Linked DNA regions of Coturnix japonica. The protein of the gene in region 1 interacts with the protein of each later gene in a biochemical or structural test. Links are inferred from orthologs where the notes say so. Each region holds a gene or a part of one and is shown on either strand. Other genes may lie near its edges. The genes, in order: RANBP3 and RCC1.

Region 1 (4,280 bases):
GTGTCCTGCCTCAGTTCTATCCTTCTCCTACACTGATCTCACCCTCTGCTGTGCTGAAAAGCATTTACCAGCTTGCACTGGATGAGTGACCAGTGCAAGCACAAGCCACATTTCCATGTTCAGTGTGCTTCCATTGCACCAGGCACAGTAAGGTTTATGTACAGCAAAACAGAGCTATCAGCCACTTCACTGTTAACATCCAAACATGCCTTATGTACTACCACACATACAGATACAGCATCACCTTACTTCACAGGCCTTGGAAACCAAATCAGGGCCTCAATTGCTCAGAGGTATCACATCTTCAATCATGTATTCTATTAAGTGAGATTTTTATTTCTTTCACTCTGATGTGTGACTACATTCAGCTGTTTCTGAGGCTACAAGGTCAGCCACGTTCCCTCCAAGCAGACAAAACATGACCTCATTTTACCCCTGTGACAGCTGACATCCACACAGCCACAGGGGCTGGGCATGGTTTCTGAAATAAAGATTTAAGCCTTCAGTGCAGCACAAAGTGCCCCATGACTGAAAAGCCCAACGGAGATTCCGAGTGCACATATATCAGAAACGTGTCCCTTTATGAACCCATTATGGAAGGCACCTACAGCGCTGCAAATATTTCCTTATGGAGCTCAATTCCCTCAGCTCAGCTGGTGGGAGCAGGATGAGCACCAAAATAATGTAAAGCCAACGCACAAATGAACAGCAAAACCAGCTGATAATCACCTGAAAAACAGCACAAGGGGGGAAAAAGGCCGGGGGGATCCCTACAGAATGGGCTATGAGGAAGCAGCAACATGCATCCTTGTTAAGGCTTGATGTAAGATCAGCACACTATAGATAGAAGGAAAAAAATGGCTATGTAGATGTTTCAGAAGGTTTTCTTTACCCTTCCATCAGATTTGGGCAAAAAGGAGAATTCAAAACATCTGGAAAATAAAATCAATGGGAAAAAAAAAGAAGGATGTTAGTTGTAAACAGAATGAAGTGCTGGTTCTATGGACAATAATCATCTTCTCAGCAACCCCACTTCCTCACCACACAGTCTGCTCTTCCTGCCTGCTCTGGTACCACTCAAATCAACTATGAAATAGCAGCTGAATTATATACGTATAGAAGCCCATATGGCATCAGGCCTGGAAAATAACTGCAGGTGTTCCCTTTATACTGCAGTATGGCAGAGAAAAGTGGTGGAACCCAAATCTGCGTCAGCTGAAGAATATTTGATGGCAACAGCTTACAAAGGAAAAGAATGCAGGTAAGCAGATAATATCTGATTTGAGAACACAACCACACACACAGACTGCTCCAAGTTAACCAAGGCAGAACAATTGGGCCTGAAGGACAAGCTAAAGAAGAGACCTGGGCATTTGTGTTTTATAGAACTCCAAAGGGACAGGTAACAAAACCAGACTCTTCCAATAGCTATGAATAGACTGAAAGCAAGAAGAAAGCTACGAAGCCAACAGCTGATCACTGAAAAAGACCCCACAAGCAAAGTCCGATCATACTTAATGACACTGGATCATTCATACCCGGAGCTCACCAATGAAGTCATGGTGAATATAAATTACAACAGGATGGTGGGGGAAAAGGGGAGAAAAAATATATTTGTAGATACTGCTGCCTCACTTTGAGGACTCTGCTTTCAAGACATAGAGCATGTGACACAATCTGGTTTATCTTCAAACCCTTTTTGTCTCTGATCATATGAACAGGCAACTTCTACAAAGCGCTGCCACAGCCGCTATGGGCACATGGTGCCTTTTACATACCCAGGAGTAATTAGAAAATTTCATACCATTTTTAAAGCACAAACCTCTTGTGTTGGCAGAGAAGGTGTTATTTCATCTCCCAAGCCCTGGTGCCATCAGCAGGTTTCCCTCTGCTTTAGGTAGCACTGACAGCATCCCTTCAATTTGGGAGCCAACAGCCCCACGTGTGCTGCATCATAAGATCCACCCAATGCTTTTGGTGTAACACTGTGGTCAGCTGCAGGTGGGATCCTGCCCAAAAGACACTTCCTTCTGTCTAACGTTAACATCAGGGCTGTAAACACCACTGGCAGAAATCCTGAGCATCAGGAATAGCACCGAATGGAAGCACTGTCCGTTCTGGCTCCTAAACTGCGTTCAGCTCCTCCCGTTCGGATGAGGATGGAGCTGCACCCACCGCACTGGGAGAACGGCTGCAGGCTGCTGCGGGCCGAGCTGGGCCCAGCGGGGGCTGCCCGACCTGCTGCTGCCCGCTGCCATTTAAGCAGCGCCCGCAGCCCTCGGGGCCGAACCCCCCCGTGCTGCACCCACAGCCCCACAGCGCTCTGGAATCTCCGCAGCAATTTAGTCCCAACGTTTCTAAGCCAAGAAACGCCTGTTCCGCCTCGTCCGGCCGCACGCAGCCCCCAGGGCTCCCAGCATCAAAGGGAGCGGCAGCGGTAACAGCAAGGACCCGCTCGGAGCAGCCCCGGGACCGCGGGGACAGCGCAGGCCGGGCGGTAACGGAGCGGGCCGCCATGGAGCCGGCGGGCCCGGCCCGGCTGGAGGCCCCGCGGGGAGCAGAGCGCGGAGCACAGCGGGCAGCGCAGCGCGTCCCGGCGGCGCCGCCTTTGTCCGCCCGCTCCCCGGGGCGCCGTGAGGCCGCACGGAGTCGTTGCGCTGAGCGCGGCCCGGAGCGGAGCGCGGGACCCGACCGGGCGGGACGCGGAGCGAGGCTGGAGCTGGAGCCGGGCCCGTCCCGGCAGCGCCTCGCACAGCAGCGGCCGCCCGCCCCGATCCCAGCCGCGATCCTTATCACTATCCCTGTCCTGATCCTTATCCCTGCCCGTACCCACCTTCGTTGGCCAGGTCCGCCATTTTACTTCCTCAATCACTCCCGAGATGCATCGCGCGGCCGGACGGCTCCACTACCGGCCAATTTACGGCCGCTCTGCGCATGCGTGAACGGCCGGGCGGGCGGGGCGGAGGGCGCTCAATAATGGCGGATGTGTCCGCGCATGCGCGAGGCGGGCCGGGTGTGGCACGTGGTTCCGTTTTGGGGCGGTCGCGCCGGTTGGAGGCGCTGCGGTTCTGTCAGCAGGAGCTTGAATTGCGGCCCGCCGCGCTTTCCGTGCTCCAACCAACGTGTCTCCGTACAGTGCGTGATGCTGCCACCCCAGGCTCTGCACACAGGGCTGCAGCCGTGCGCTCTGCGGGCACAGCTGCCCCCGGGGGTGGTGGCACGGCACGCTGTGATTCTCAAGGACCTACGCTTACGTACCCTACGCACTTTACGTACCCTACGCACTTTACGTACCCTACGCACTTTACGTACCCTACACACTTTACGTACTCTACGCACTTTACGTACCCTACGTACTTTACGTACCCTACGCACTTTACGTACCCTACGTACTTTACGTATCCTACGTACTTTACGTACCCTACGCACTTTACGTACCCTACGCACTTTACGTAGGGAAGTCCTGGAGCTCGCCGTGCATGGGTGGGATGGTGGTTCCCATGTTGGGAGCAGCAGTTCCTAATAGTCCCTAATACCAGCAGTCCTACCAGCAGGGCGTTAGTAGCTCCAGCTGTAGAAGCAGCTCTGTTTCCAGCTCCCTCAGCCTGCAAAGTGCCATGACCGACATTGTCACCTATAGAAGTGACGAGGGGCCTCTTCTGGGTATTGAGCAATAACAGCTGGATATTGAACAGCTCGGCAAGGTCTGATGGTGATTTTCACGTCCCCGAGCAGCTCACAGGTGTCAGTGCTGGAAGCTGCGATGTCCAAACACACACGGTGCCCAGAGCGTGATGTGTTTCTTTACACACAACCTGCAGAGCGTGGAGCTGAGCACGTTCTCGTGTCTCATCACACAAGAACCGTCATTTGCACAGATTCACAATGTGGCTGAATTTGCTCCAGTTTGTGTGGAATTAAAGCCTGTCCCAAAGCGGACATGTCCTACAAACTGAGGCAAACACTACTGAATTGGTGTGAGTATAATTACCCGTTATGTGAGTATCTAAAAAACAGTAATTACATTTTGAACTTAAGCACGTATTCTGGTACGTTTCTCCATCGCAGAACATTGTGCTTCACAGCCTGGAAGCTGGTGGAACCTGTGAGAGATGGCAGCTCTTATCATGGAAGAGTTGGGCAGCTTTAATTGTGGGCACTGCTGTGCTGTGCTTCCCTAATGAACGCACGGCACTGACAGTGCGTGGTGTGACCTAGTTCAGGGTTGTGAGTTAGCAGGAATTTACCTCCCAAAGTTACACTCTCTAGACCTTAAGAAC
Region 2 (2,961 bases), on another chromosome or scaffold:
TTCGAGGGCTTGTTTGTCAATTGGTTGCTTAAATTCAGTGATCTGCAACTGAGAGGAGAGGAAAAGGGTGTAAATCATAAGCTCTCTTCTGATGCCTTGTTTCTCATCCCCAGAGCGCCTGCTGGTCCCCCAGCGTGTCCCTGTCAGAAGCAAAGGCAAAATGCGTTTCCAAGATGCTTTCTGTGGGGCTTACTTCACCTTTGCCATCACACGGGAAGGACACATCTATGGGTTCGGCCTCTCCAACTACCACCAGCTGGGTGAGTTTCATTTGCATCCCTGCGGTTCTCCCTACTTTGGTGGGGCTCCAGAATGGACCTGATCCTACTGTGCATACCCAGTGCCCATTGCAGGAGCTGGAAAATCATGCTTGAGGCTCTGGGTTTGGTTCCCAACCCCTTCATTTGCTGGGCTGGGCTGTGTGAGTGGGGTCAGAGCCCTGTGAGGATGGCTTAGTGCCCATACCTGATGTGCTCGGCTTTGTGCATCTCACCCTGCAGGGACCCAGGGCACCGAGCCCTGCTTCTCCCCACAGAACCTGACGTCCTTCAAGAACTCCACCAAGTCCTGGGTCGGGTTCTCTGGTGGGCAGCACCACACCATCTGCGTGGACTCGGAGGGTGAGTATTGGTGGGATGGAGGGGCTGCCAAGCAGAGTGGGGTTCCTTAGAATCCCAGTCCCTTATGGGGGAGAATTTGGGGTCAGGTTGAAATGCTGAAATACTCTGAGTCCCCCCCACAGTTCTGTATCTCACTGGGGAGCCCAGAGTTGATGGTTTGCTGAGGGATGTGGGAGGGAGGAGCGATGCTCCCAGCTCCTGCATGGTCAGACCTGGGCCAGGAGGGGTCTGTCTGCAGCCCTCCAGCCTCCTGTGGTCCCTGCCCTCCTCACTTCACCACTCCTGCTCTCTCTGTCGTACCCCAGGTAAAGCCTACAGCCTGGGCAGGGCTGAGTACGGCCGGCTGGGCCTCGGGGAAGGGGCAGAAGAGAAGAGCACACCCACTGTCATCCCAGACCTCCCCAACATCTCTTCTGTTGCATGTGGTGCATCGGTCGGCTATGCTGTCAGCAGTGATGGTGAGTGCTGGGGGCCTCATCTACCTCTCCCAGGGCTCTGCCCATCCCTTCCCAGAGCTCCATCACACACTGGGTTGGGACTCAGCTCGTTCCCTATGCTGCTGCAGCCCCCAGGTGGCACCAGCCCAGAGGCAGCAGCTGCTCAATGTGTTTCTATGGGCACTGGACTGGGTTTGTCAGAGCCCAGTGGGGCTGGTCAGAGAACTAAGCCGTGGCCATGCTTCTATGGGAGCTCTTTGTGGGCTGTATGCAGTGCCTGCAGCTGCAAGAAGGATTTGCTGTGGTGTGAGCACAGGCAGCACGTTGGCGTGTTTGCATTGCTGGCTTTAAGGCAGTCCATGCAATGAAACAGTGTTCTATGGGAGGCCCAGATGCCTCCTTCCTCCTCTTCCCCCCCTCAACCTGCCCCTCTGGAACCCTTTGGTTCCCCCCTTTGCCCAGCTCCAGATGCTGTTTCTACCCAAAGCCCAAACTCACATCACCTCCTTTGCAGGACGAGCATTCGCGTGGGGAATGGGCACCAACCACCAGCTGGGCACCGGCGAAGAGGAGGACGTCTGGAGCCCCGTGGAGATGACAGGGAAACAACTGGAGAACCGCCTGGTCCTGGCTGTGTCCAGTGGAGGCCAACACACAGCCCTGCTGGTCAAGGACAAGGCACGGAGCTGATGGCTCCATTGGGGCGCAGTGGGATCATGGAGCCCACGGGTGCCTCCTCCTGCCATCAGCCCCACCTCGGGCAGCTGCTTCCCAGCTCTGCTGTCTCCCAAACCACAATGGGGGAAGGCCGAGGTGTCTTCTCAGGTGCCCCGTCTTCTGTTTTGTGTTGCCTTCCAGGTACCTGCACTGGGAAGGGAGATGCTGCGAGGATGGATTTTATACATTAAGTTTAAGAATAAGTGAGGGGTGGGGGGGGGGGAATTGGAAGCTGTGTGTGCTTGGGGCTGGTCAGGAGGCTGGGAGCTGTACAGCAGCTGATGCTGAATTTCTTTTTTAAAGCAAATGTAAAAAGTATTTTGGTTGATTGAAGAAGAGAGGGAAGGGGGGGAGGGGAAAAAAAAATCTCTAGGCGTTTGGAATAAATAAGTTTTGATAAGTGCTGGGCTTCCCTCTGTGCTGTGCAGGATGGGCTGCTCTGTGGGGCTGCTCTGTGGGTCTCAGTGCTGAGTGATGCAGTGTGTGTGTGTGTGCAGCTGTGGGGTTCGGCCGCAGGATGGCAGCAGTGGGAGCAGAGCTGAGGGTGGCAGAGAGGAGGGGAGGGTCCCTATGGGGTCCTGCTCACCCCGTGCTGTCCCTGACACCGCTGGGAGCTCGGGCAGAATGGAAGAGCCTGGAGTTGAGTGTTGAAGCTGATGGGTTGAATCATGGAGGTGTTTATTTGTTGTTAATTAAGGAGCAGGTTCCTTAATGAGGCTGCAGTTTGGGCTGGGGGTTTGGTTGGGTGCTGTGTGGGGTTTGCTGCCCGCAGCCCTTTGCTCTGCACGTTTTAGGCTGGGAGGGATGAGCTCAGAGGTGCAATTAGGGCTGAGCATGAAGCTCTATTCCTCTCCCAGCAGCACTGAGCAGGTTTGTGTCTGGACCCAGACATCACAGACATCATCCCTTATTGCCAAGCAAGGAGCCCATTCCCTACGAATCACCATCAACATGGGCTCACCCCAACCTGACGCTGCTCCTGGAGACCACCACCCTCCATTCAATGCTCCTCCATCACCCTGCATGACCTGCTGGGGGAACAGCTCCTTTCCTTGGGCCTGATTCCTGAGGATGGGCTCATTTCCATAAACAGAGCTGTTATTTTTATACCCCTTCCAGCAAAAAATAGCAACCTCCCCCCCCGTCCCCAACACACACACACACACTTTGTGCTTTGCAGCCCTTCT

Evidence for each region.
Region 2: the proteins of RANBP3 (region 1) and RCC1 form a complex in vitro, tested with the Homo sapiens proteins (2 studies listed by BioGRID). The link is inferred for Coturnix japonica from reciprocal best matches to the Homo sapiens genes RANBP3 and RCC1.

Annotation. Positions count from the first base shown.
Region 1 is NC_029543.1:272,057-276,336, reverse strand, and holds the start of RANBP3 (ran-binding protein 3), read right to left. Parts: upstream 2,967-4,280; 5' UTR 2,856-2,966; coding exon 2,834-2,855; intron 1-2,833. UniProt on the Homo sapiens protein: Acts as a cofactor for XPO1/CRM1-mediated nuclear export, perhaps as export complex scaffolding protein. Bound to XPO1/CRM1, stabilizes the XPO1/CRM1-cargo interaction. In the absence of Ran-bound GTP prevents binding of XPO1/CRM1 to the nuclear pore complex.
Region 2 is NC_029538.1:1,935,843-1,938,803, forward strand, and holds the end of RCC1 (regulator of chromosome condensation), read left to right. Parts: intron 1-113; coding exon 114-260; intron 261-500; coding exon 501-620; intron 621-925; coding exon 926-1,078; intron 1,079-1,571; coding exon 1,572-1,747; 3' UTR 1,748-2,177; downstream 2,178-2,961. UniProt on the Homo sapiens protein: Guanine-nucleotide releasing factor that promotes the exchange of Ran-bound GDP by GTP, and thereby plays an important role in RAN-mediated functions in nuclear import and mitosis.